Linked DNA regions of Mus musculus. Each later gene encodes a partner of the first gene's protein in a complex. Links are inferred from orthologs where the notes say so. Each region holds a gene or a part of one and is shown in the gene's direction. Other genes may lie near its edges. The genes, in order: Arpc3, Actr3, Arpc1b, Actr2, Arpc5 and Arpc2.

What was found.
Region 2: the proteins of Arpc3 (region 1) and Actr3 are in contact, whole or in part, in a cryo-EM structure (PDB 6YW6), measured with the Homo sapiens proteins. The link is inferred for Mus musculus from reciprocal best matches to the Homo sapiens genes ARPC3 and ACTR3. Residues at the interface, in NP_001265485.1 of Homo sapiens: Tyr47, Tyr48, Lys50, Ala51, Phe54, Phe55, Lys56, Lys158, Trp159, Thr161, Cys162, Phe163, Val164, Lys165, Arg166; in NP_005712.1 of Homo sapiens: Phe203, Gln206, Asp210, Arg211, Glu212, Leu238, Val239, Phe242, Asn243, Ile253, Asp270, Gly272, Tyr273, Glu286, Phe287, Pro290.
Region 3: Arpc3 (region 1) and Arpc1b share a complex: the UniProt entries of both Homo sapiens proteins name them as parts of the arp2/3 complex. The link is inferred for Mus musculus from reciprocal best matches to the Homo sapiens genes ARPC3 and ARPC1B.
Region 4: Arpc3 (region 1) and Actr2 share a complex: the UniProt entries of both Homo sapiens proteins name them as parts of the arp2/3 complex. The link is inferred for Mus musculus from reciprocal best matches to the Homo sapiens genes ARPC3 and ACTR2.
Region 5: Arpc3 (region 1) and Arpc5 share a complex: the UniProt entries of both Homo sapiens proteins name them as parts of the arp2/3 complex. The link is inferred for Mus musculus from reciprocal best matches to the Homo sapiens genes ARPC3 and ARPC5.
Region 6: Arpc3 (region 1) and Arpc2 share a complex: the UniProt entries of both Homo sapiens proteins name them as parts of the arp2/3 complex. The link is inferred for Mus musculus from reciprocal best matches to the Homo sapiens genes ARPC3 and ARPC2.

What each region holds. Positions count from the first base shown.
Region 1 is NC_000071.6:122,403,730-122,407,310, forward strand, and holds the end of Arpc3 (actin-related protein 2/3 complex subunit 3), read left to right. Parts: intron 1-394; coding exon 395-521; intron 522-1,354; coding exon 1,355-1,449; intron 1,450-2,139; coding exon 2,140-2,202; 3' UTR 2,203-2,452; downstream 2,453-3,581. UniProt on the Homo sapiens protein: Component of the Arp2/3 complex, a multiprotein complex that mediates actin polymerization upon stimulation by nucleation-promoting factor (NPF).
Region 2 is NC_000067.6:125,414,765-125,419,443, reverse strand, and holds part of Actr3 (actin-related protein 3), read left to right. Parts: intron 1-1,139; coding exon 1,140-1,195; intron 1,196-3,063; coding exon 3,064-3,188; intron 3,189-4,679. UniProt on the Homo sapiens protein: ATP-binding component of the Arp2/3 complex, a multiprotein complex that mediates actin polymerization upon stimulation by nucleation-promoting factor (NPF).
Region 3 is NC_000071.6:145,120,470-145,125,148, forward strand, and holds part of Arpc1b (actin-related protein 2/3 complex subunit 1B), read left to right. Parts: intron 1-1,187; 5' UTR 1,188-1,206; coding exon 1,207-1,270; intron 1,271-2,062; coding exon 2,063-2,167; intron 2,168-3,099; coding exon 3,100-3,322; intron 3,323-4,117; coding exon 4,118-4,225; intron 4,226-4,679. UniProt on the Homo sapiens protein: Component of the Arp2/3 complex, a multiprotein complex that mediates actin polymerization upon stimulation by nucleation-promoting factor (NPF).
Region 4 is NC_000077.6:20,077,602-20,082,280, reverse strand, and holds part of Actr2 (actin-related protein 2), read left to right. Parts: intron 1-1,482; coding exon 1,483-1,619; intron 1,620-2,108; coding exon 2,109-2,258; intron 2,259-4,679. UniProt on the Homo sapiens protein: ATP-binding component of the Arp2/3 complex, a multiprotein complex that mediates actin polymerization upon stimulation by nucleation-promoting factor (NPF).
Region 5 is NC_000067.6:152,764,784-152,770,097, forward strand, and holds the start of Arpc5 (actin-related protein 2/3 complex subunit 5), read left to right. Parts: upstream 1-1,758; 5' UTR 1,759-1,941; coding exon 1,942-2,084; intron 2,085-4,077; coding exon 4,078-4,150; intron 4,151-5,314. UniProt on the Homo sapiens protein: Component of the Arp2/3 complex, a multiprotein complex that mediates actin polymerization upon stimulation by nucleation-promoting factor (NPF).
Region 6 is NC_000067.6:74,234,785-74,240,141, forward strand, and holds the start of Arpc2 (actin-related protein 2/3 complex subunit 2), read left to right. Parts: upstream 1-1,732; 5' UTR 1,733-2,041; coding exon 2,042-2,115; intron 2,116-5,357. UniProt on the Homo sapiens protein: Actin-binding component of the Arp2/3 complex, a multiprotein complex that mediates actin polymerization upon stimulation by nucleation-promoting factor (NPF).

The sequences.
Region 1 (3,581 bases):
CCTTTAATCCCAGCGCTCAGGAGGCAGGAGCAGGTGGATCTCTGAGTTCGAGGCCAGCCTAGTTTGTGTCATGAGTTCAAGGACAGCAAAAGCTACATACTAAGGTTCTGTCTCAAAAAAATAAAAATAAAAGAAATTACTGTGTGCATTTATGAAGAGAAATGTGTGCCTATGTGGCAAGTTTGGTTTTTAGTATTTGAACTCCTGCTTTCCACTGCAGTAGTTTCTCTGGGCTTATTCCTTGGGAGCAGTGTTGAGAGGGCTGCAGGTTCAGGCACTGCAGACGGGCACTCACAGAACACCCACCCACGCGTACACCCCTGGCAGCTGCGTGCAGTGAAGGGTTGTATTTGGAGACTTACTCTCACGTACCAACGGTGTCCTTTGATTTTAGTGCAACTCCAAGAGCCAAGGCGAGAAGGAAATGTACACGCTAGGAATCACCAACTTCCCTATCCCCGGAGAGCCTGGCTTTCCTCTCAACGCCATTTATGCCAAGCCTGCGAGCAAACAGGAGGACGGTAAGAACAAGACTGGAAGTGTGTGTGTGTGTGTGTGTGTGTGTGTGTGTGTGTGTGGGCAAGTCAAGTGGGTGTGAATGTACTTGTGTGCTTGTGTGCTCCGAGGCCAGAGGTTGGTTTTGGGTCTTTGGTCACTGTCCACGTTGCATATCTAGGCAATATCGAGGCAAGCTCTTTCACTGCACATGGAACTCACTGACTGAGCTCGTGTAACTGGCCAGCTTGCTCCCGGGATCCCCCGGCCCTGCCCCTCCTAAGGGCTGGCGCTGCAGGCAGGCCAGCCACCGTGCCCACTGTACTTGTATGTGGATGCTGAGGATTGTTTCTCTGGTTCTCGTGCACGGCAGGCTCTTTCTCCTCTGAACCATCTCCCCGGCCCACTGGCTGGTGCTCAGATTGACAGCGGGGTGCTCAGCACACGCGTGTTGCCTTAACTGTCACAAGAGAGCTTGGGAACAAGTGTAACGAACATGCAGAGATTGTTGAACTACTACCAAAATGAACGTAGTTATGAAACCATTCTGTGTCAGCAAGGTGGCTCAGCTGGTAAAGGCAGCCGCTGACAAGCCTGACGGTCTGGGCTTGATTCCTGGGACCCACACACACAGTGGAAGGAGAAAACCACACTCCTGTAAGTGCGCGTATGCGTGCGCGCACACAGAGGAAGAGAGAGAGAGAGAAAGAGAGAGACCAAGACGACCAAGAGGACCAAGACCATCTAGGCCATTCTTTCTTGTCCTAAGCTGTCTGAATGTGTGCAAATACTTCACCAAGGTCAGTGTCAGACAGGCCATGGTTAGGGCCTCCTCACACACAGATTTCCTGTATTGCAGAGATGATGCGGGCGTACCTCCAGCAGCTGAGGCAAGAGACCGGACTGAGGCTGTGTGAGAAGGTTTTTGACCCTCAGAGTGATAAACCCAGCAAGGTGAGATGTCCCCTTCTGCCTGTTTAATTGGAGCTGGAGCCTCTGGCCCGTGGCCTTCTAAACCGCTGAAGTCTGCTGTCGAGAGCGATCATTTCTGCCTGCTCTGGAAGACCACGGCTATCGTTTATGTATGGGCTGTGTAGCCATATGTCCACAGTCTGTGGCTGTTGGTCCCTGCTGTGAAATGGCATGGCATCTGTATGTGATGTAAATGCCATGTAAAATGGAAATGGTGGCTCTGTTGCATCAGGTACAGAACAGTCACAGGGAGCAATCTGTGTGTGTGTGCGTGTATGTGCATGCATGCGTGTATACAGTGCGTGTCAGGGCCCCTTGGTTGGGGTGGGGGGGGGGGTGAACAATGGCCCAGGCTGGACTTGAGCTAACTGTGTGGCCACAGGTGACCTTAGCTCCTTCTGCCTCTGCCTCTAGTTCTGCAGTACACAGGCATGCTACCGCGTCTGCCTCACATGCCTTCCTGCCCGTGGGTGGATGTGATACGAGCCTCACGCCTGGGGAGGGCCAGGTGGACGCGTCTCCCTGCTCTGTGGGGTCACCTTTGAGTTCAGTGGGAGGTGTCTGCTGTTTACACTGTTGTTTGTCATAGAGAGAGGCTGGAATGCTGGCCCGCGCCCACACTTGCACTGTGCCCTGACCCTGAGCATATGCTCTGTCTTGTGCCTTTGACAGTGGTGGACTTGCTTTGTGAAGAGACAGTTCATGAACAAGAGTCTTTCGGGGCCTGGGCAGTGAGAGGAGCCTGGGCAGCACCATCACGTGGAGACACATCATAGGACACACAGGCCGATGTGTCTGTTCATACCTACCGTATCAAGGAGAGAAGAGAGCCTGTCTTTGCTGGAAAAGCTCTTGGTCAAGAATTGGGAGGGTGGGTGTCGGGTGATTTCGATTTTTGGCAGTTTTAAGCTGGTACTTAATATATAATAAATGTCACTGCTTATGTTAGACATTGAATTAAAACATTTTTGAGAAAAAGCTTACACACACTGTACCGTGTATGGGAAAGGGTGGTATATTGAGGGATAGGGCTTGGTTTTCTATTTATGGTTTGGTTTGGTTTGTCGTTTTTGAGCCAGCCTCACTGTGTAGCCCAGACTGGCCTGTAGCTCGTTTTGTCTCCCAAGTGGGTCTTAAACCTAAGTCCTCCCACCTTGACTCCCTGTCCTGGGATTGCAGGAGTTCTCCACTACGCTGGGCTCCATCAAATCCTTTCAAATAATGAACAGTTTGGTGGTTGTGAGTATGTATGTACAGTTTCATAACCATGACGTACATCTAATTCTACAACGCTTTTATTACCCCCAAAAGATGTGCCTTTAGCAGTGATTTCCCTCCTTTGCTGATAAGCCTCCTACCCCCACCCCCAACTTCTGGACTAGTCTATGCTCTATCTTCATAGACTTGTTTATTCTAGATACTTCATGTGATCATATGAGTTCTATAGTGGATAAGTCAGCCTTCCAGTCTGGCTTTGTTTAATTAGCGTGTTGCTAAGCCCATCCCCCCAGCTCCCCATCGCTCATGTAAGTGGAATCAAACAATAATTATCCGTTCATACCTGGCTTTTCACGTGGCACAACATCATCAACACCCACCCATGGTGGTGCATCCATGCTCTGTCCGTTCCTTTTTTATGGCTGAGTAATATTCCATTTGGACACAGATCACGTGTCTGTTCATCATCATCCAATGGATATTTGTGTTGTTTCTGTCTTGGAGCTCTGACTAAACACTGTTGTCAAGAACAGCCATGTACACATTTCTAATGTGGACACAAGTTTTCATTTTTCTTGCTTATCATAGCCCTCAGGGTAGGACCTCTTGAGTCACACGGGAACTGGAGAAGGCCTGCGTGGTTTTTTCCCCCCACACTTGTGCTGTTCCATATTCCCACAGTGACATGTGACTGCTCTGTTTTCTTCCATGTTTCACCAACACATTCCATTGCTCTCCCAGGGGCTGTGACGTGGAATCTCATTGTGCCTTGGTCTGTATTTCTCTTGAAGATGGTGAGCTGCTTTGATGTGGCCACTTACACACCTTCTCCACACAACTGTTTAGACTTTGTCCATTTTTCTTTCTTTTCTGGGGAAGGGTGAGGAAGTTTCAAG
Region 2 (4,679 bases), on another chromosome or scaffold:
CTTTGCTCCCATAGATGCAACCAAAATTCCTATGTCGTACATTTTAGAAATAATTTGTGTCCAGGTTATCAAATGTATTTCATATGTTCTTATTCTTCTCCCTTGTGTTTATTTCACTTTTATGTAGGTATAGCACACTTTGCTTGTTGTTCTATACACTTGCTTTGTTCAGCTACTCCAGTATATCTGAAAGTGTTCCAATCAGTATGTAAAAGGGGCATACTAGTCACAGTGTAAACTGAGTGTAGTTTGCTAATTTCCCTTTGGACATTTCCAGTCTCTTACCATTACAAACAAATTTATAGAGAAGGTTTTCTTGCATGTTGCTTCACACATGTAGTAATAGTCCTGTATTATTAGTTGATGGAAGTGGTAGTGGTTAATGGGATAGCTCAGTGAGTGCAGATGTTTGCTGCCAAACCTGATTGCCTGTAGACTTCTATCGCTGAATCCATTTGGTGAAAGAGAGAGAACTTATCTCTGAAGGTTATTCTCTGACCTCCACATTCATGCAGTGGCTTGTGTACACACAGTAAATGAGTAAACTTACAAAGGCAGAGTGTGTGAGTAAAGGCTCCTGCTGTCAAGCATCGTGATCTACATTTAGTCTTTGGGACCTTCATGATGGACAAGACACCCAACTCTTGAAAGTTATCCCCCGACTTCCATACCTGCATTATGGTGCACGTCTGTGCATATATACATGCATTCATACATACATAATATACTTTTTTTTTTTTAAGTTGTGGGCATTTGAGTTTGTAGCTTAGTAATAGAGCACTTGCCTAGCTTGTGCAAAGCCCCATGATTTGGTCCACAAATACAGCAGAAAGAAACAGAACTGTAGATATATGTGATTTTGATAGTTTCTCAGTGTTACAGCTCTCACCTTCCTTCAACTCGCTCTGTAGTCAGGCTGGCCTCAAACTCACAGAGATCTGCCGGCCTCTGCCTCTTGAGTGCTGGCATTAAAGATGCACACCACCATTGCCTAGCAAGTGATTTAGATAGTTTTCAAGGCAGAGATGCTGAGTGAACTAAACTTCTGAATATGTATATACAACAAACTCTCACTTTTTAACAAAATTGCAGAATACATATTGAGATTAGTGAAATTTTATGAAATTTTTATTTTACAGATATACAAAACTAGGATATGCTGGAAATACAGAGCCACAGTTTATCATCCCATCATGTAAGTATTTCTTTTTCCCCATGGATGAGCTGATTTAAAGGTTTTCCTCATTTCATTATCAAAGTAAAACAAGTCATCAAGCATGCTATTATGTCAGAATCAGGCATTTAGAAACAGGATTGCCTGTAGATGGAACCTTATTTCCAACTCTTTTAACTATTTATTTTAGGTCTTTACCAAATCTGCTAAGTATCTCTTTAAGGAAAACAAAACAAAACCAAACCCAGTAGTGAATTGATAATTAAATAGTTTCTGCTTTGAGGATATTGCTGCTACCTTTGTGTATCTGTAACTGGCTATTAAGTAGCTCAGCTAAAGTGACCGTCCTTTGGCTGGAGGATACCATTACTGTTTGCAAGACCTATCCTGTAGACATCTGATGCAAACGCCAATATTTCTCAGTGAGGAGCAGTGGTCCTTGACTCAGCAGCCTCACTGTTTGCTGATATCCTATAAGCATGCTATGTTTAACATTGTCTTTGGGAACTTTTGTTCTATTCTGCTTCTGTTAACATTCTGCTAGTTGTAACAGTTTTAGTAGATTTAGATTGTTACAGGTATTTTTATTAGTAAAGGTGTATATTATCCTCAGCGTTATTTTTGTATTTTTGATTTCCATCATCTTAAGGCTGTTTGCATAATTATAACAAGTGAAGATGCTTAACTTGAATTCACAAAATTAAAACCTAATTAGATTACATAGCAGGTTTTTTTAAAACAGTGTTTTACTTTTAGTCACGTGTGTATGAGGCTATCTATCTGCCGTGTGTGTATATGGGTACCATATGTGTATATGAGACACAGGAGAGTATCCAATCCCCAAGAGCTGGAGTTATAGTAGTTGTGAATTAATCCGTGTGCTGAGAACTAAATGTGGGTTCTCTGGGTGAACTGTATGCTCTCTTAATCACTAAGCCAGCTCCAGCTCCAAAAAGTACACCAGTAGATTTCACCTCTGGGAATAGACACAGAATTCTGAAATTAGTTAAAGGGATTACTTTTTGTATTTAAGATTAAAATTTAGTAGATCCCCATTGGATAAGAATAAATAGAGATGTAAAGAAAGCTTGTTTTTAAAAGTTCTTTTGTAGATTTTTCTCCTTTTATTGGTTAGTGTTATTTACCTTTAATTTCTTGCTTATCCATTAAGCTTTATATTGACTTTATAAGATTACAATTTTATTTTGAACTTATTGTACGTATATTGAGTATGGTTGCATAGTTGTCATAACATACATGTAGAGGTCAGAATGACTTTCTTACAAGTCAATTCTCTCCTTCCATCATGTGGGTTCTGGGGATCGAACTTAGGTCATGAGACTTGTAGAACAAGTACTTTTACCCACTCAGCCATCTTTCTGGCAGTACAGGATTCAGAGCTAAGCTAAGGGTTGGTAGCAAAGGACTGCAATTCTTATTACTTGGGAAGTTAAGGGAGGCAGGTTCCAAGTTTAAGACTGGCTGGATAACTTAGTGAGTTGTGTCTCAAAAGTAAAAAATTTAAAAAGGCTAGGTAGATAGCTTGGTGGAAGTATATACCTGATATGTGTAAAACCCTAGTAACACACATGCAGCCACATAATTGGAATCAAAATTTAATAGTTGTTGGAAATGGAGCTGAAATAATCCCATAGTAATACATTTGGGGGGTTGATACTTGAGGCCTGATCCCTGAGATGAAGCTGAGGTATGGGTGTCTAGAAGGCATTTTGTCTATGGCTTTTGTTCATTAGTTGAGAGTTTTAAGTATTCTGGATCATGCTTATTTGTTGTTTTTAGTAACATTTTACAATTGAAGAAGGCAAGTTAAAAGTTGTTTCATTTGAAGAGATAAAATTTTTAAGATGTCTAATTACTTTACTTCAAAGGTATTGCCATTAAAGAGTCTGCAAAAGTGGGTGACCAAGCCCAGAGGAGGGTGATGAAAGGCGTGGATGACCTAGACTTCTTCATTGGTGATGAAGCAATAGAAAAGCCCACATATGCAACAAAGGTATGTTTCTAAGAGGGCTCCAATCAGCCGGTGGCCGGTTTCACTCTGTCGTGGGCTTGTTGCTTTCTCACATTGAGTTTTCTGGTTTAAAATTTTCGAGACAGGAACTCACCTGGAACTGGCTGTGTAGACCAGGCTGCTCTTGAGTTCATAGATTTGCCTGCTTCTGCCTTTTTGAGTGCTAGGATTAAAGGTGCTTAAAGCCAGTTTAAAACCATATCTCGCTCTGCTCTCATCTTCCTAACTGTAAAAATGTCTCCTTTCCCTTTAGCTTTAACACAGTGAAGTGGGTGGATTTACTTTTCTGTGCCCTAGCCTCTCAGGGCCCTTGGTAGGGAATGAGTGTTCTTTCGTCTCCGCATTACTACATCTAGAGAGATTTCCTTCTTGGATCAGATACTCATTTCTTCTAAGCCATGAGGGAATCTTGTTCTTCCTCTTTCCTTCCCTGCCTTTTCTGTCTCTTGATTGACATAGAACTTACACAGCAAAGCAAGTAGTCTTCATTATGCAGCTTGGAGAGTTTATGTGGCTGATTGTACCAGGTAAGAGCGAATCTTGTAACACAGGTCTTCCTGTGTCTTTGTTCACAGCCACTTCTACAGCCTTCTTGGAAGGTAAACACTTCCAAGCATTCATTTCCTCCTGCGTGCTTTTCTCTCTTTGTAATTTTAAATGAATAACTACCCTACCATATGTAAAAATAAATCGTTACAGTTTTTTGCTTTGTGCTGAAAAGAAAGTAGCAAGAAACAACTTCTCTCCCAGGGATATTATGAAGCGAGTAAAAGGAAAGGAAAGCAGGATAGGGCGTTGTAGGCATGAACCACAGAAGTTGTTAGTCTAGTTGGGGATTTAGCAGTCCTTGAGGGATAAATTCTTGAGCTGAGTCTGGAGTTAGGCAAGATGTACAGACAGCCATTAGGCAGAAGCTAGTACAAAAGAGGGCTTATTAGGAAGACAGGGAGCAGCATAGCTTATGTGCCTGAAATCCAGGGGCTTCATGAGAGCCAGTTCCACCCACAGGTAACATTCATGGATATACTTGATCAACTGTGTTCCTAAGTTCTGTTTGGATTTGAATTTTGGCTGTGCTTCTTTTTAGCTTTGTGGTATTATTCTATGGCTTATCTTTCTGTAATTTAGTTATTTGTGGATGCAATGGAGCTATTAGTACTTCAGGGTTAGTGTAGACCTTGTTTAGAGGATGGCTATAAAGAAATTGTTGTAGTACTCAAATAGTGAAGTGTAATTATTTGAGGGAGGCATGTGTATTTCTGAAGTAATGATGTATGGCAAGGGATGTTTGTGACTTGGGCCAAGGCAGAAGTTTTCAACCTTAATGCTAAGACCCTTTAATATAGTAGTTCCTCATGTTGTGATGATTCCCAACCATATATTTTGTTGCTACAGTTATGAATTATAATGTACATACCTGATATGCAGGATAGCTGATAATCAACCCCCCAAGGGTTCATAATTCACAGGCTG
Region 3 (4,679 bases), about 23 Mb from region 1:
GGGCCGGCCTGGGTAGAATTCACTGTGCGCTGAAGATGACTTGAGTTAGGACTATTCTCCTGCCTCTGTCTCTCAAGCTTGTATCACCGCACCGGATTTATGTAGTGCTGAGGAGGGAACCCTCACTAGCGCTAGGCAAGCACTCTGCCAACTGAGCTACAATCCCCAGCTCTGGTTGTTTCTTGAGACAAGGTCTGGGTAGCTCAGGGTGGCCTCAGATCTTATTCGTCCATTGCTGGAATTACAGGCATGTGCTGTCAAGCCCAGCCTAGGTATACCACCCCACTCTCCTCTCCCCTCAGCTAGAGGTGGGGTGGGGGTGGGGCAGAGGTGAGCTTTTGGCTTACACAGCTGGCCGACAGTGCCATGATGTCTCTCCATAGTCTCGAAACATCCTGAGTCTGGGGAGGTGAGGGAAGGGGTTGGACAGAGCAGGGATTTGGAGGAGGTGACTTTCGGTATTTTTGGATGAGTGACATAGTGGAGTAAGACTAGAGAGAAAGGCAAAGAGGAGATCCCAGGCATGAAAATATGGGTTGGAATGGCTAAGAAACACATCTGGCAGGATGTGGGAGTAGCAAGGTGAATGCCCTGGGGGAAGGGGCCGTGCGCCAAGGGCTCCGAGGCAGCTCCTTAGCCAGGAAAGGCTGTAGGGAAGCCTGAAGGCTGGGCGTCCCTCCTCAGTCCCAGAGTCCTCTGAACCTCAGTGTGTAGGGGAGGAAGCTGCGGGAGCCCAGCTCTGAGCCTGCCCCAGAGTGCCAGCTGTCTTATCTACTTTCCCTGCTTTGCTCAACCCTCAGGGCCTGGGAAGGGAGGACCGGGCACTGACTGGCCCAACTGCATTTTGAGCCAGGCTCTGCTGTAAGTGGGTTAGGGGTATTGTTTAATTTTTACATTGCTCTTATATGGGACTGCGTGTGTGCGTTCATGGAGCAGGGGCGTATCCTCCACTCGGAAGGAACTGAGGCACAGGTGAAAAGTAGCAGGCCTATGTGGCTCAGGGTCCCACACTGTTCCAGCTATCTGCGGCCTGGGACATCTTGTGTCACCTGCTTTCTTGGGATGAGGGACACGGGCTCACGGGGAGGCTGTAACATACTTGGCCGGTCAGGAAACTAGGGTGAGCAGACTGTTCCTCCCTGCCAAGAGCAGGGCACAGGTGACCTGCATTCTGCCTCCCTCCCTAGGCCCAGGAGACAAGTGACTATGGCCTACCACAGCTTCCTGGTGGAGCCCATCAGCTGCCATGCCTGGAACAAGGACCGTACACGTGAGTGCTCGCTTCTGCAGGGTGGCCTCCGAACTGGGATTGCTGGGTCCAATGGAGTGGCAGGGTAGTGGGACAGCTTTGAGGGGTGGGGTGCAGCCAGACTCCACATCTTGGATCTCTGCTTAAAGCAAGTGGTTGCTCCTGGGAGAGTGGCGTAGAACCGCAGAGCAGGCAGAGGTGGCCAGGCGGGTAGAAAGGGAGGTGTTGAAATGTTGGGTGATCCGTTCAACAGCCTGGGCCTTCTGGATCTGCTCTGGTGGGTGGGGGTACACGCGTATCATCTCAGAACTCAGGAGACAGAGGCAGAGGGCTTATAAGTTTGAAGCCAGCCTGAGCTACACAGTGAAACCTACTTCTAAAAATCAACAAAATGGGCCAGTGAGATGGCTCAGCATTGCTTGCCAAGCAAGCTTTATGAGTTTGAGCGGCAGAACCCACATAGTGCAGGGAAAGAACTCAAGACGACAAGGTGTCCTCTGACTTGCATTCCCATGCTGTGGCTCACGCACGCGTGTGCACACACACAAACACACAGAATGTGAAACACTTTAAGGGCACAGTGGGTAGGAGGGCCCCAGGGCCGAGAGGAATGTCATGGAGACAGGGCAGTAACGGGACTTTTGCTAACACAGAGCTGTGGGATGAGGTGAGGCTCCAGGGTCCTGAGACTGCTGTGGGGGAATCTAAATGCTAGGGACGGCCTGGCTCTGGAAGAGTACTCTAGTGGAGAGCATAGGTGGGCAGGGTGGGCGCCCACGCTGCTTCCTTAAGCTCATGCCCGTCTCCCTACAGAGATCGCCATCTGCCCCAACAACCATGAGGTGCACATCTATGAGAAGAGCGGTGCCAAGTGGAACAAGGTGCACGAGCTGAAGGAGCACAACGGGCAGGTGACAGGTGAGAGGAGGCAAGGGGACGGGGCAGGGCCAGCGTGGCCAGCAACTCGCTCAGTATTAGCTGGAGTAGTCTGGGTTGCAATGAAAAGGACTCTGATCCCAGTTGATTTAGGGACCATAAAGATGGCTCAGTGGATAAAGGGGGTTTAACTGCCAAACTTGAAGATCTGAGTTCCATCTCTAGGACCCACGTGGTCAGAGAATAACGGTTCCTGCAAGTTGTCCTCTGACCTCCACAAACTAGCCATGGCACATATAAGGCACTAAGTAAATAAATAAATTTTGTTTTGTTTTTTGTTTTCCAAGACAGGGTTTCTCTGTGTAGCCCTGGCTGTCCTGGAACTCACTTTGTAGACCAGGCTGGCCTCGAACTCAGAAATCTGCCTGCCTCTGCCTCCCGAGTGCTGGGATTAAAGGCGTGTACGACTACGCCAGGCAAAAATAAAATTTTAAAGATGGTAAAGAGATTATATTGGTGTCTATAACTGAGCACTTAGATGCTCAGGAGAGGCCTGATCGGCAGCTCAGTATCAGGAGGCACAGTTCTTACCTGTTTCCTGGCTTTACCTCCAACATGGTTGGTGTTAGCTGGTGAAGATTGCTAGCTCCCTGCTAATAAGTTTTTGTAGTCACCCCTAGAGCATGAGGGGTGGGGGATGCTGCTCAGCAGTACAGCACCTCCTTGGAGTTCTCCAGTGGTCATGGGTCTCAGCAGTAGAGCATTTGCATTGAATCCCCCAGTTGTCAGGGGCAGGGTCATGGTTCGACAGTAGAACACCTGCCTAAAATTTTCTGGTGGGGCTGAATGCTTGGCTCAGTGGTAGAGCACTTGGTTAGTATGAGCAAATCCCTGGGCACCACAGTCAAAGATCTGGACATGGCCGCTGTAGCTTGGGTGCCTTTAGTCTTACGTCCTCTGACCTGACCCTGCAGGCATCGACTGGGCCCCTGAGAGTAACCGCATTGTGACCTGCGGCACGGACCGCAATGCCTATGTGTGGACGCTGAAGGGCCGCACGTGGAAGCCCACACTGGTCATCCTCCGGATCAATCGAGCTGCCCGCTGTGTGCGCTGGGCCCCCAATGAGAACAAGTTCGCCGTGGGCAGCGGCTCCCGGGTCATTTCCATCTGTTATTTTGAGCAGGAGAATGACTGGTGGGTGCTTGGCTGGGGGTGGAGGAACCTGGGCTGGGGTACGGGTGCATACGTGATGCAAGATCAGAATGTCCCTGAACATGGCAGATGCAATGTGGAGACTCCAGGACATCTGTCTTCTGAGCCTCACTGGTGAGGCAGAGCGTCCTCTCTACAGTGACCCCACAACTCTGACTTCCGGGGATACTACACTGAGCTCCATGCACGCACCACCACCAGCCTCCCTTGCTGCACTGTTAAGCGGGTTCAACACCGACAGTCAGTAGGCATCTGGCTTCAGAGACCACTCATGAACACCCAGCCACAATTTTTAAAAAAGGACAGGGTCTGAATGTAGGCCAGGAGGACCTCAAGCTCAGTGTATAGCCAGGGGTGATCCTAAACGTGTGTTCCTCTTGCCTCTGCCCTTCTAATACTGGGATGACCGGTGTGCACCACCACGCCTCGTCTGTGCTTCATGCATGCTAAGAACCTGCTGCTCAATCATTCCCCACCCGAGGTGAGGCTTTTGAGACCGCGTCTTGCTATGTAGCCAAGGCTACCCTGGAATTCAATTCTCTATTATAATTTGTGTGTGTGTCAGATGCCTGTCCCACCTGTGTCTTAAATCTCCCATGTAGGAGGACAAGGACAGTTTTGACTCTGGAGAAACAGAATTCATATTCCACCCTAACCATTTAGAACCACATGATCTTATGTGGTGGGTAGTGACAAGGCAGAGAGTTCTGACCTACCTGGAATGCTACAATCCATGCTACCTATCCACCTGCCTGCCTTTCTTACCCATGTGTCTAGGTGGGTGTGCAAACACATAAAAAAGCCCATCCGCTCCACAGTGCTCAGCCTGGACTGGCATCCCAACAACGTGCTCCTGGCAGCAGGCTCCTGTGACTTCAAGTGCAGGTGAGCTGGACGTCTGCCTGGGAAGGAGACCCCTATCAGACAAGCAGCAGGGCTTGGAGGGTGGAGGAGGAGTCCCAGCTCCTCATGTCCAGCAGGTTGCTCTGCAAATGGTCACCATCGTGGCCTGTTAGCACCCTGGGGTGGAGGGAGTCCTTGCCATCTCTTGAATGTCAGCAAAGTCTGCCCAAGCCCTCCCCTGCCTCCTCTACTCCAGCTCTCCTGATTTCTACTGAAGGAGAACGGCGTGTGCTTAGTCCACTAGCATACGAATGACTGGTAACCGCAACAAAACTCGCTTTGTTATTTTTCACTTCTGGACCTACAACCTCACTCTCTTGGCCCGTGGACCCAAATTCCTCCCAGCTCCAGGCTTCTGAATTCTCTCTTGGGAAACTGTAGGCACCAGAGATCCTTTTCCTGACCCTCAGCCCAGAGACTGTGCCGTCTCACTGGG
Region 4 (4,679 bases), on another chromosome or scaffold:
CTGCTAGAGGCCTTGTTTTGGGTTTTTTTTGAGATAGGTAACGTAGAGTTTCTGGTTCTTCAATCACAAGCCTTCTGAAAGCTGGTTTCTGGTATGAGCACCAGCGCTGACCAGGTGATCTTAGCAGATTCACTTACTGTCTTGTAACTGGGTTAATAGTCACTTTTCCCAGTTGTTTCCTGTAAATGTAATTTTTATTCTCCTGTAGTAGTTACTGTCGCTGAGGCTTACCGCCCTCTGCTGACCTAGGCCTGGTCCTGGAAGCTTTCAGCCTCAGAGACTTACTGCTGGGTAAGCTCGCCCTCAGCCTCAGAGACTTACTGCTGGGTAAGCTCGCCCTCAGCCTCAGAGACTTACTGCTGGGTAAGCTCGCCCTTTATAGTTCTTTCTGAGCTCTGCCTGGCAGGTTCTGCGTGGCCTCATACTAACTTTGGCAGTCAGTTCTAGTCTTCAGGCTTCTTCTCATTCTCTGGCTCGCTCTGTCTTTCCTGTGTCTGCCTTGTTCTCTCTGCAACCTGTCTCTCTATAACTAGACAAGTCAAATTACCTCCCTCTTGTGAGAGTTGGGCATACCCTATTCTGCCAAATTTTTCTCTAATTCGTCATGTTGTTACTTAGTTAGGCATCACTTTCAAACACAGGAGCTTTCTTCTACAAACTAACTTTACCTTTATTGTTAGATTAAAGGTATGTGTTAAGGGCCCTTAACACCAGGGCAAGATGAGTTTGGGTAATGCCACTTAGCACCAAGTCTGAAACCTGAGTTCCATCCTTGGCCACACTTGGCGGCAGGAGAGAACCAGCCCCTGCACTTGCCCCATGTTGTCTTCTGACTTCACACGCACCATATGGCATGCATGTTCCCCTCCCTTCCCCTCCACGCCACATGTAAGTCAAATACAAAGAAAGAAAGTCTTCAGGGAGCAAATGCTGCCTGCCATCTGTGATTAGAAATTAAGTGCTGAAGTTGAGCCTAGGGGCACACACCGTTAGTCCCAGTGCTCAGAGGCAGAGGAAGAGGCAGAGGCAGAAGCAGGAAGATCTCTGTGAATATGAGGCCAGTCTGGTCTATATAGCAAGTTCCAGGATAGCCAGGAATACATAAAAAGACCTGTCTTGAGAAAAACAAAACGAGAAGAAATGGGGGCTGGAGAGAAGGCTCAGCAGTTAGGAGCATTGAATGCTCTTCCAGAGGACCTGCGTTCAATTCCCAGCACCTACATGGCAGCCCACAACTGTCTGTAACTCCAGTTCAGTTCCAGGGTATCCGTGGCACAGGACATGCCTCTAGTGCACACCTATATGCATGGAAGCAAAATACCCATACTCATAAAATAAAATAAATCTTTAAGAAAACAAGGAAAGGAAATGCTGGCTCTAAGCCTCACTAGCCACCTTTTTGTGGGTGGCATCTCTACTACATTTGAAACGTTCTCGCTTTGATTTTCTGAATTAACTCAGAACCTTCTGGTTCTTGTGCAGGTTTACTGACTGGTGTAGTAGTGGACTCTGGAGATGGCGTCACTCACATTTGCCCAGTATATGAAGGCTTTTCTCTCCCTCACCTTACAAGGAGGCTGGATATTGCTGGGAGGGATATTACCAGGTATCTTATCAAGGTAAGTGAGAGGAAAATATAATAAAAGGTAGTCTTTTTTTTTTTTTTTTTTTTTTTTAAGTTTGTTTATTGACTTATACAAAGACAGAGGCTAGAGAGCTGGCTCGGTGATCAGGCGCACATACTGCCTTGCAGAGAAACATCTTGGTTCCCATCTTGGCCCGCTCACCATTGCCTGTAACTCTGGTTCCCATGAAGTCTAATGCCTTCTTCTGGACCTCTCAGGCACATATCCACACAAAGACACACAATACACATAATTTAAAATGATAAAATAACTTAGAAAACTCACTATACAAGAGTTGTAGCCTCACCCCAGGATAGCATTATTGGCTTTGCTATTGGTTCCCGGGATTGAGTTTAGGTTGTCGGGCATAGACAGCAAGTGCCTTTGACCTTCCGAGCCATTTTATCCTCTAGGAGATTAACTTTTGTTCAGTGGAACTCGTTCTCATAGATTATTAATTTACTGCCATTCTTTTTATACCAGCTGCTGCTGTTGCGAGGATATGCCTTCAACCATTCTGCTGATTTTGAGACAGTTCGCATGATTAAGGAAAAACTTTGTTATGTGGGTTACAATATTGAGCAGGAGCAGAAGCTGGCCTTAGAGACCACAGTGTTAGTTGAGTCATATACAGTAAGTATCCTATGTAAAATACATTATGGGTGTAAAGGGGCATCTGTGTTTATTAGTGTCACCTCGACTCCAGAGTCTTGGTTTGTTTGGTCACACACACACACACACACACACACACACACACACACATTGCTGAATATCATACCTAGGGTCTTATGTGTGCCCAGCAGATTAGGCCTTAACATGGGTATTAGTTATTGTAATATGTTTACATATGATTTCTCAGGATTTCCTGCTATGTTTAGTTTCTGTGATTAGTTATTAGGGATTCCATATATTGCAAATTAAGGCAAGAATTAAATTAGAATATAATTAAAAATGGAGGTCATATTTGAGATTCGAGCATCTTGAGAGTATCGCTCAACATGTTTTGTACAGTGTCATTTCTCTGGGGCTGCTTAGGAGTTATGAAAATAGAGCACAGTTATAACTGTCACACACTGTGGAGACAATGGATGCTGCTTTGTTGTCTGACTTGTAAGCTCTTTGATGTGAAAATGTCGTGTGCCTGTGTCTCAGCCTGTCGGACCATCCTGAGAGTCTCGCTATATATGTACTACACAGTCCTCCTGCCTCGGCCTCCTGAATGCTGGGATTGCATGGACCTCAAATTTTTGTAGTGTGTCATGGAGCTAATCATCTAAGAAATGTATTTTAGGAAGTATTCATGCTTTGATTTTTTTTTTTCCCTCAGACAGAGTCTCATTGTAGCCCAGGCTGGGTTAGAACCCAGGCTAGTTTCAGATTTATTTTAAAATCCATTATGTTGCACACATTTGTGATCCCTGGGCTTAAGAACACTTGTTTTTTTTTTTTGTTTTTTTTGTTTTTTTGTTTTTGTTTTTTGAGACAGGGTTTCTCTGTACAGCCCTGGCTATCCTGGCACTCATTCTGCAGACCAGGCTGGCCTCAAACTCAGAAATCCGCCTGGCTCTGCCTCCCAAATGCTGGGATTAAAGGCGTGTGCCACCACCGCCGGCTTAAGAACACTTGTGCTGGGCATGGTAGCACATGCTGTAATAAAAACACTCAGAATACTGAGGCAAGAGTGCCATATAAGTAGTGAGACCAACCTCATGAGGCCTCCAAAACCAACCAAAATAGCTTGACATGGTGATTTCCATGAAGTCTAGGCTAGCCAAGGGTACATAGTAAGACCCAGTCTCAAAAGTCAAAAAAAAGGGAAGAAAATATTGTCAGAGACTAGTTGTGGTAGAACATGCCTTTAATTCCAGTACTTAGAGGCAGAGGCAGGAGGATTCCTAAGCTTGAGTCTATATAGTAAGTCCCAAGCAGGCCAAGAATAAAGAGACCCCCTGTCTCAACCCCTGCCCTCCAAAAAAAAAAAAAAAAAGCCAAAAAACAAAAAGATGCCACTTTAAGGGCACAATAAAAATGTATTTTATAATGTCTCTTAACCTCCAGGTTTGTTCTGGTGGCTTACGATCCCAATTTTCAATCTTGTTTTGAAGGAAATGGCATAAAGCAAACCATGAGAGAACTAACAGTGTAAGACTTGATTGATTTGTGTTGGACACTGGTTATGACAGGAGAGTCATTGAATTAGCTCAAGCTCAGCCTGGACTAATAGCCAGGCCATCTTAACCCCGCTTTCCCCTTTCCAACACCCCCACAAAAACAAAACCTGAGACATGGTGGTGCCCACCTGTAACTTCAGTAAATTTGATATGGGGCTGAAACGTTACTGAGTTTGAGGCCCACCTGTGTATATAGGTCAGCCTCAGACTCTGAATGACTGCCAGGCACAGTGTGCCCACCTGTAATCTCAGCACTTGGGAGCCAGGCACAGGAGAATCTCTCTCTGTAAGCCTGAGGCAGACAAACCAGCCATACAGACCAGAGTTCAGCAGGTAAGGGATTTCTGCGTAAGTCATGTTAAAGTGTTGGACTGTCTAAATCTTACTGGCTTAAGTTAAGGTTATAGTTACCACTTAGATAAAGTTATTTAAGATGCAGTAGCATAAAAAATTTTCTAAATCAGTGTTCCTTAAATTTTTGTTTTGTTTTGAGATAATGTCTCAATAGGTAACAGCCCAAGCCGGCCTTGAATCCATGATCCTCTTGCCTCAAGAGCATTGGCATTGCAGGTTATGCATCATGCCCAGCTGCGGCTGTGGTTGGTTGGCTTGGCTGGTTGGTTGGTTTTTTTTTTTTTTTTTTTTTTTTAAAGATTTATTTATTTATTACATGTAAGTACATTGTAGCTGTCTTCAGACACTCCAGAAGAGGGAGTCAGATCTCATTACAGATGGTTGTGAGCCACCATGTGGTTGCTGGGATTTGAACTTCGGACCTTCGGAAGAGCAGTCGGGTGCTCTTACCCACTGAGCCATCTCACCAGCCCGGTTGGTTGGTTTTTAAGAAAGAAAATGTGTGTGTGCACATGTGTAAATCAAAGGA
Region 5 (5,314 bases), on another chromosome or scaffold:
ACAATGTGAGTGTTAATCAAGGAAATGTCACTTCTATCAACTGAATGATAAACCTAGAGGGAGTGCCACATTGCTTCTTCACAAGGAAAAGGGACACACTTCACATACAGCGCTCTCTCTACATAAACACATACATACACATGTGTGTGCCTATGATCAACAACTGTTTGATCCTGACGTCTTTCTCTTTTTGATTGAGTCTCTATTCCCAATGTTTTTATATATTTTATATTTCACTAACTCATCAAGCATGCACTAACTACCTTCTGAATACCTAATTTTATTTTATATGAAAAAAGATACATAAGAAAAAATTAGATTCAGCCCTTCAGAATCTTGGGATCTCTTTCCCCAGCAAGAATAAAACCTATCATTAGGTAGTTTATGAAGCTCGTGCTACATAACCCATAACACATTGCACACATATGCAGAATTTTAGAGTCTTTTCGAAGCATTTCCACGTATTGAGCCCTGGGAACATCCTTGTGAAAAGCACATTAGCCCCATCTTAGTACTAAGAAATCCAAGGTTCCAATTTTTAAGCAACATGCCTCAATCATGCAGATTATGAGAGCAGAAAAGTCGAGACTCAGCCTGCTTTTTGATCCCAAGCCCAGTGCTCTTTTCCAGTACGGCAGAGCAAACGAGAAAACTCAACAGGATGACATCCAGCCTTCTGCTATACGTGAAACCAGGTGGTTCTGCATCGAAGCAGGGCAAAGCCAAATGTCTGAATTAATTTTATTCTGTAAATACTTGTACTACGGTATATTACACAGAGCACAGCTATTATTTGATTAATCTTTGTGCCTCTGCCTCCTCAACAGAAGCTCTGATCTCACAAACCGGAATATGGAATATAGCAAAAAGCTGATTTGACGTGCTTCCAGGAACCTTAAACAATAAATAACAACCTTGAAAGTCCAGTCTCTATTAATCCTTGCACTCGCTATTTTCCCTCAGCACTGAAGAGCCTAACTCGCCCACCCTCTTCTGGCATTCTTGCTCCAAATAACTACTTATTTTAAGATGTGATGACTGATTCTAGAAAATGCTACAAGTTTGCCCCAATTTCACTACCTGGCCCAAGCGTCTTTTCCCTCCCTCCAGATGGAGAGAATACCTAGTTCAGATTCTGCAGGTCCGGTCGCGATGCTGTCACACAGCACTGACAGGTAAGAAGTGACCTTTTCGATTCCGTCCTTGGGGACCTCCCACCGACAGCGTGCCAAGAGTCCAAGCCGGGGAAGGGGCTCTCAGCTCGGGAAGGCAGCCCCCGGCGGCGCACGGTCCGAATGGAGGGCTCCGATCACTAGTTCCGAGCTGGGCATCACTTTGCCTCATACTCCTGCAGACTGCAGGGGACTAGGTTCTGCAGCCAGTCCATCGCACCCCACGCGCGAGTCCGGTCACCCACACTTCACACCGGACCCCAACAACCAGCGGCTGGCACCGACAGCGGCGGCGGCAGCAGCACTCCAGGCCACGCTCCCGAGGTGCCCATAGCCTCCAGCCCAAGACCCCCCGCAAGGCAGGACCGCAGAAAAGCGTTTCTATGGGAACGTCCCGGGCATCACGTGATGCTCCCCGGCGACCAATCGCGTCTCCGCGCCGCCTCTGCCAGCTTTCTGTCGACCCGCCGCCCCCGCCTCCTTCTCCAGCCCCGCCCCTTTCCTGCAGCGGGCCCGCGCGTGCGCGGTGCGTCCCGCGCGCTCCCCTGCCGACGCGCGCTCCCGGGGGACGCGGGGGCGGAGCGGGGGCTGAAGGATGGCTGCAAGCAGAGGAGGAGGCCGAGCCCGCTAGCGCGCAGGCCCAGAAGCTTGCAAGCCGCGGCTGCCGGCGACGCCCCAGAGCGGAAGAGGGAAGTGAGTCGGACCGGGCTGGGCTCGCTAAAGGAGAGGCACCGCGGAGGGGCAGGCCAGCGTCGCGTCGCGATCCGGGATGTCGAAGAACACGGTGTCGTCGGCCCGCTTCCGGAAGGTGGACGTGGACGAATATGACGAGAACAAGTTCGTGGACGAGGAGGACGGCGGCGATGGCCAGGCCGGGCCCGACGAGGGCGAGGTGGACTCGTGCCTACGGCAATATCCTTACGCTCGCGGCGGCCGGGGGTTGTGGGGACGCGGGGCCACGCGACCGGCTGTGCCCGGCTCTAGGTGGGGACGGAGGACAGGAGCTCCCGGGGCCAGCAGGCCGCCTGTACCCCGCGGCCGCGCCGGCGAACTTACCGGCGGCGCCCCGATTCCTCAGGTGCGCGGTCCTAAGCGGCCGCGCCCTCCCCGGGGCACCGCTGGTGTCCTAGTGGGCACCTGAGCCAGTCTCTGCCCGGTGGGGACACGGGCGTCCCGCTTGGAGTCTTGCTTTCCTGTCCGGTGTGTGTGGTTGGCGGAGCGGGGATAGTTTATCCCTAGCCAGGAGAGATGGAGCGGTTCGCAAATCGAGGCCCTCGGTACATTCAGCCCCGGGGCTATTTCATCGGCAGCATTGTTTATTAAGAGAGAAGGGCTTTGGCAAGGTGGCATTATAATTCATGAACGAGCCGAAGGGAGTTTTCTTCTCCAAAATTCCCAGTTAAAGCTTGGAACCTTTCACCTGCTAAGAAAAGGCCACTAAAAAAGGGATAGCGAATGCATGCAGAGAATCCCTGGGAATAATATAAGATGAACCCCAGTGAATAAAGCAGAGAATGAGTCGGTTCTATAAATCAACATTGTTTTTCTGAAATTGTTTCCCTTCTAGTTAAAACATGGCTGTCAGTTCCTGGTTCCTTGGTTTGCATATCTGAATATTCATAACCTCGAAATTCATTTGCATCGATCCCTTAGAAAAATAGAATGTTACAAAAATCCAAACTGGAGCTTTAGAAAAATCGTATTCATTAAGTCTGTTCATACAGCTCTCCCCTCATCAATTTTCTACTAGATTATAATGAAGAAAGTGAGCAAAAACAGTGGTAACCACAGCATCAAACGTACATATATGTGCAGTATAGGTTTAACTTTCATTACCATAACTTTCACAGTTGTTACTAATTTGATTATTTGTTAAAATACTTGGGTTTTTTTTTTCTTTAAAAGACCATGCAGGCTTGACAGTAGTTTATTACCTACTGTAGATAATTTTTTATTAGACCCTTTGCACAGAAATGGTGAGCTTATTCTTTGTTTGTTTGGGTTTTTTTTTTTTTTTTTTTTTTTTTTTTTTTTTAGTCTTTATGGTGGATATATGATATTTTATTAAACTAATGTATTTTAGGTAATTTCTGGTGATTCCTACTGCTGTGTTCATTATCAATTCAGTCTACCTTTTTGTCAATCCATTTTAAAATATAAAGATATTGTCTCTGGTTCTAACTAGGAGAGACTTCAGATTGGTCGGGTACTACAGATGGAGGAACCAGTGACTCTGTTTCTCCTTTTAGGGAAATGACTGTCTGTTCTGACAGTCTGATTGGCCTTCCGTTTCCCCTGCTTGCTAACTCACCAGTGCTTTCAGAGACTGAGTAGGTATGGATGGTCCAGCCCAGTTTGAATAACCTGTAGGAAATAAAGTAAGCTGCCACCTACAGGTCGTGCGGGTTACTACATCATCCAGAGCCCTGTTCATATTAAGCTATTCTTCCATTCTGATTGCCAGAATAATCAGCCAGCATTTCAGTTAATACACAGTGTAGTTTCAGTATAAAGTCTAGGGTTGTTTTCCAGCAAGAGTCACACAGACAAGTGGTATACTTTGTTGGTAAACTGCATCATTTGGTGACCTAATAATTCTTAACACATAGTCTTAAGATTTCTTGAATACCCATCTAGACAATTGCGTGTATCTCACTGGAAAGTGTAATCTATTTGACTGATAGAACTGAGGTCAAAACAGTCTTTGCTTTTTTTTTTTAAATCTATTGTTTAATTCCAGTATTTTTACCATTGGTTGACATGTGGGAAACACACCCATGCAGTTTCTAATATCGAACATAATGACCATAGTAACTTTTGTTACTGTGCAGAAAGTCAAGTCAAAAACCAATATTCCTGTAAAGCAGGGGCCATCCTTTTCTGTTCCACCCTTAACCTTCGTTACAGGAAACATGACAGCTGCTCTCCAGGCTGCTCTGAAAAACCCCCCTATTAACACAAAGAGCCAGGCAGTGAAGGTGAGTTTCAGACTACAGCATTAATCTCTTCTGTTTCACTATTAGCAAAGTCCTTTGATGCCCCACAGTCAACATTGTACCTATTTCCTGTCCTTGACACAAGAGTTTACAGTGTGACTTTTGAGACTGAACCGCAGTCTATAACCTGGTCTGAAACTCAGGAGATCTCCTGCCTCCACTGGGATTAAAGGTATATGCCACCACGTCCAGCTTTAAAGGGAGCTTGTGACAAGTAAAAATGTCATGAAAAAAATAGCCCTGAAATGTAGAGTTAGGAGAGTGCCGTGTGGAGTGCAGTAAATTTAAAGGATAGAGCCATCACTTCTGCGTGTGCTTCAGGAGGAATCCACTCAGGTTGGATTTAAATGGGCTTGAAAAATAAATTTGCCAAACACACACAGCTGCTTCTTGATTTCCTAATTTTGTAAATATTAAATATTATAGAAAACAAAGCATGCGTGACCTTAAAAAGGTGATCTCTGTCCTACTTCCTTGGGTCTTATAGTTTTTCCTAATTTTGTAAATATTATAGAAAACAAAGCATGCAAGCTTAAAAAGGTGATCTCCATGCTATTCCTTGGGTCTCAGTCACTGCCTTATATGGTATCGCTGCACACCTAAGGAGTTTCTACAAGGGTTTGTGCTCTTTTAAAAAATAAATAGAATCTTACACTCCAGCTGTGTAGTCATGTACATGATCTTCTTTCCTTAGCAATAGATTATTTCTGTGGCATTTAACTGCTATACACTAGTATGTAACATCTTATATGCAACTGATCCCTGTTATTGCATGTTAGATTTTCTAGTTTTTCCTGCTAAAATTGATCATTTTAAATCTTAATTATTTATGTCAATAAAATTCCCAGAAGAGAAATGCTAGCACAAAAATGACATTTTTTAAAGACTTTTGATACACAAAGCATTGCCAAATCTCTCAGAAGAGCTTTGTAGCTTACATCCCTACATCAGCCCTCCACTGATTCTTAGGGAACTGCTTAGTTGTTTATTGTTTAAAATGCAGGCTAAGCAAAGCCCTGTAAAAGCCTACATCTCAGGAACCTAAGAACCTTAATTGAAGAGTAATATGTAAAAACATAATAATTATTGCAGCCACAAAACTTTATATTGGGGAATTTTTTTTCTTTGCTCCTTAAAAGTTGTTAG
Region 6 (5,357 bases), on another chromosome or scaffold:
CAGCACAAATACCTTCTAAGGGTGGAGTCTTGTCCCTCTGTAGGTGACAGGTCAGCTGTCAGAAACCTGCCTAAACCTGAGGGGCCTATGGCCTCAGTGTGAGAAAGACGATGCTGTTGTCAACTTCTTGAAAAAAAAATAATAACTCAGGCAAAGATTAGACACGTCGTAGGTGTCATCTTTAGCAAAGCTAGTGGGACTCTATTGCTTAGCATACACATTTGTGCTTTGGGGTTTGAGAGATGGCTCAGCAGGTAAAGTACTTGCTAGGCAAGGCTGATGACCTGACTTTCATCCCAGGATTCCACAGTGGAAGAAGATAACCAATGTCCAAAAGCTGTCCTCCAGCCTCCACTCAACAACCACGATGCACATGTACTCTCCCTATAATAATAAATCTTAGAATTCCATATTTGTTCATTTGCTTTGAGACAAGAGACAAGGTCTCACCATGCAGTTCTGGCTTGCTTGGAACTTGCTGTGTAGAACAGACTGGCCTGGAACACACAGAAATCTGCCTGTCTCCACCTCCCGAGTGCTAGGATTAAAAGTATGCCTCACCACAAGCAGCAAAAAAGATTTTTTTAGAGACAACTGAAATGAAGTAAGAAAGGCATATTGGTGTGAACTGAGAATCCCAGAACTTGGAGACACCAATACATGTTCAAGGCTAGCCAGAGCTACAGAGCAAGTCCCTCTTTCAAAAATCTGGACAAACAGGGCCAGGGCGTGGCTCAGCAAGTTGTGCCTGTTGTTAAGCCCGATGACCTGAGTTCAATTCTCAGGATCCATGTGTTGGAGAGAGAAGGGAACTGACTACCAAAAGGTGTCCTCTGATCAATATCAAACAAAATTTTTTTTTTTATTGCATGGAGAAGAGGCTTAATTAAAATTGTTCCTGGAAGAGAAAAAAGTGGAAACATGGTACCCAAGCTGAAAGGACAGGTGGCGGTGGCGGCACTTAAGCAAAGAAATAAAGGTATGACAGGAATCCCTAAGGCCCATCTGGATTCCTTTCCTTTATTGCCCAATAACAACGTGGAATTTATTGCGTTTTTGTTGTTGTTGGTTTTTTGTTTTTGTTTTTTTTTTTTTTTTGGTTTTGGTTTTTCGAGACAGGGTTTCTCTGTATAGCCCTGGCTGTCCTGGAACTCACTTTGTAGACCAGGCTTGCCTCTGCCTCCTGAGTGCTGGGATTAAAGGCGTGCGCCACCACGCCGGGCTTTTATTGCGTTTCTTTTAGCAGACCATAAGCTTTAGAAGGTCAAGTCCTCATCTATTGCATTAATCACTGTATCCCTGGGAAGGAGAGATGGCCACTAAACAGTCGCTGGCGAAGAATAGGCACAACGGTGCTGCAGGGTAGCCCTAAGCACGGAATGAGCAAAAAGCACCCACAAGTTGGAAGCAAGGGATCCCCCCCACCCCAAACAAGCTTCTTAAGGGGGCTTCTGAAATAATATCGGAAGGGTGGAATCAGGCTTCTGGAATATTCGCGAAAGGGGCAGGTGGATTGTACGGACAACGGGGAATGACAGGTGAGCGTAGGACTCTCCTGGTCAGGAGGAGCGGGGCGGCGTGTGGCGCATGCGCACGCATGCCCTCTGCCTGCCTCCTCACCGGGACGCGCTTGCGGGCGAGTGCACGCGCGAGGTCGAAGCGGAAATGGCGCCGCGGGGCCGCGCGTGCGGGCGGCGAGCGGAAGTGGGTGTGAGAGCGGAAGTGGCCGGCTGGAGCCGGGGGCTGGGCGGGGACCGGGATCGTCAAGTAAGGCGGCGGCGGAGGCGGCGGCGGCTCGGCAGGCGGGTTGAAGCTTCGGGGGCCAGGTCGGTCGGGTGGTGGCTGCCTGCTACAGGCAGCGCGTGCCGGGCCAGCGCGTGTGTCCGCCTCTCCCCACCCCGCTCCCCGTCCCCTTCTCCCCTCACCTACCGCACCCAGCCCCCCTCGTCAGGGGCAGCGGGGCCGCTCCCTCCGTCCTACCCTCGATTGCCCACCCTCACCGCCCTTGTTTCTCCTTCCCCTGCCCGGGGCAGCCGCCGCCATGATCCTGCTGGAGGTGAACAACCGCATCATCGAGGAGACGCTCGCGCTCAAGTTCGAGAACGCGGCCGCCGGGTAAGCGCACGCCGGGAGGAGGCCGAGTTGACCCCAGCTAAATCCCGGGTGGCGTCCAGCTCCCCAGCCCTAGAGGGGGACAAATCGGGAACCTGGCGCGGCTTCAGGGTTTCCCTGGCAGGATGGACGTGGGAAGCCACGGGGCGCGGTGAGCCGAGGGCCTGAGATGCGTGGGGAGAGGCTGAGATAGGGATGCGGAAGCAGCGAGAGGACAGGGGCAAGGCGTGCCAGAGAACAGGAGACCTGTAGGACGTGAGGGCAGCCGAGGCCAGAAGTCACGCCCGAGAGCCTACGGTCCTCAGGGGGGAAGAGAGGGGTGCACTTCCCTCTGTCTTTTCCGTCATTGTACCGAACCCAGAGAGACCCTTTTGGGGAAGCTGGATTGAATGGAGTTTTCAGGAATTCCCAGGGCGAGGTGGGAAGAACGTGTAGGCCCAGATCGCCACCAGCATTCTGCTTCCCCACCCCCATCTCTCGAGACCCCAGGAAAAGCAGGAGGCAAGACTGAAAGCAGACCCAGGCTGCTAGGGGGGTAAAAAAAATCTCTAACCTACTGTGAAACTAGCCATTTTGTTATATATCCTTTAGGCAAAGCCAACGGTTCTCCATCCACACTCTCTTTAGCTCTCGAGACAAGCTTGCTCTATTTACTTATTGGTTGTGTGTCTTAAATTCTTATCAAAGACCCCGGTCTTTGATTTCTTCTGTAGTAATGCCGACTGGGTTAATAGCTGCTTCTGCTCCCAGAATCTATAAAGTTCTTAAGATAACCATTTATAACATCAGCATCTTAATATATGGGACGTATTTCCAGCCCTCTCTGTCATACACAAAAAAGCAAACTCCTCCCTTAAAGCCGCGTTGCCTCTCTAATATATTTAAAACCTGAGCAGAGGAATTGGGTTTTAGGTTCTAATTTATGGTGGCCTGTGGCCATTCCTTTGCCTCATTTCCTCATTGGTAAAGGTGGGGCTTCACATTTTGGTTTCACAGTTAGGAAATAAGTGCAGGCTGTTTTCTGTGAACTAGGAACTAGAAATAGGAAAGTGCTTGCCGATCCACAGAGGGAAGAGGACTGGGAGAGGGGGAATTCATTCATTCTCCCCCTTTAATTCTAAGCATTTGTAATGAACTTGTGGTTCACAGACATCGAAAGCATGAACCCACTACTTACTCGGAATACATTGTCTGCTCCGTCTCTTTTGTAAGGTTACAGATTTTACCTGCAAAACAAAATGGGACATTCCTTGAATTGGTGCATTCAGTGTCATGCTGTTTCCTGCCCTGGACTGCAGTTGAGCATTTGTGCACCTCACTTGTTTCTTGTCTGCAGCTTCTTTGCATTTTGAGTTTTGGAGTTAGTCAACACAGGGCACTTACTGTGGGTGAGGGGGGTGCGTGCTTTTTTTTTTTTTTAATTAGTGTAGCACAAAGGAGGAAGTTAAAATAACTTCTGCATTTTCACTGCTGATCTTAATACATACATTCTCAAGTCTTGACTAGCAAAGAATGAGTCCTGGGTGGTTACAAGCTGATCTACAAGATAAATGGCTGTGTGTGTTCAAGTGGAGGCATGCCTTTAAATGGAGGAGGACTTTCACACTTACTTATTAATAACTTGATTCTAAGATGTGACCCATTATTCAGAACTTTCTGTAGCCCTTTTTCTTTTAGAAAACTCTCCTTAAAGTTCTGTGGTTGGTGGTCTATGCCTGTAGTCCAAGCACATTCAACTGTAACTCCAGCTTTCAGGAGCTCATAGGAGACAGGAGGAACAAAAGTTCTAGGCCCTAGTGAGACTTTGTATCAAAGAAAAAAGAAAAAGGCAGGCCAGACTGGGTGTGATGTGCTTGTAATCCCAGTGCTTGGGAAGTGGAAGCAGGAGGACCAGGAGAGCAAGGCCAGCCTGGTCTACCCTGTTGCAAGTAAAAAGCTTACTCTTTCAGAAAGATTAAAATAGGGTTTTAAATTTGGAGGGCATAAGTTAGAATTTCTTTGGGGGGAGGTGGTAAGGGTGCTCACTGCAGCCAGGTAAAATGTCTGAGGAGGTAGGAGGTTTTGTCTTATTCTAGCTCATCCTTAGAATGTATGACTTAACAAATGCACTCAAAACATTGTGTTAAAAATACTTTGATGTCTTTGAGAAGAGACTATGGAGGGCGGGGATTTTCTGAAATTGGCTGTTTCTGTGGGGTGTAATGGCACCCTCCTATAATCCTAGCACTAGGGAAACAGGCAGAAGGGTCAACACAGGTTCTAGTCCAGCCAGGGATATTTAGTGAGACTTTATTTCAAAAGAAAAGAAATTAAAAGAAAAGCCTACCTCTGAAAAAAAAAAAGTGTTTCCAGGTCCGCCCTTTAAGATGAGGCAGCACTGGGGTGGTTACAGAGGTCAACAAGGATGTCTAGTGTGCTCATCATAAACATGGGTGCGTCTCACCAGAGCCCAATACCAGGCAGCAGCTGAAAGCATGGGGCCCTTCCGAAGAGAGCCTGTTATCGAAGTTAGGGAGGGACTGATGTATACGCTATATTGGGAGAAGATAACGAGCTTAAAGAGAAGAAGCCCGGAGACCCCAGAGAGATGAGAGGCTGTGCAGGGTGGAAGTGGGGAGAGCTGAGCCCCACACTGCTCTTTGCACTTGGCAGAAGAGATTAGTCAGGGAAGTTATGATCATGTAGCCTTTGCCAGAGGGATTCTTTCTGTTCTGGAGTGTCCTGTACCATAGCCACTTACTATATGTGGCCCGTTATTTAAATAAAAAGATGAAGTAAAACTAAAATTTGTTTCCTGAGTTGGACTAGCTGTGTTGGATCTTTAGACTCCATTGCCACTTGGGGCGAGCGACTGCTGTGTTTGCCCACTGTTCGAGCTTGTTACTGCAGACAGTTCCGTTGGACGGTGCTGGTCGCCTACTGACAATGAAGGTGTGAGCTGGTTTCCTCTGGGGAGGGTGTTTGAGTCCTCAGGGCCTTGCACATGCTGGGAAGCACTCGCCTGCACTGCTTCCCAGCTCTCGGGAGGCGTTCTTCAAAGATGTTAGAGTAGTGCAGTGCACACTCCAGAGTGACGTTGCACTGGCTTTCCTTTTCATTGTTTCACTTTATCTTTTTTATTTTTAATGATCCCTTGGGTTATCTTGCTGTATCTTTTTGCCTATAGCATCAGACTGAAAGCTTAAACTTGTATTTGGGTGAGACTTCTGTAAAACAACTCTTTAAGCATACAGTTGGCCACAATT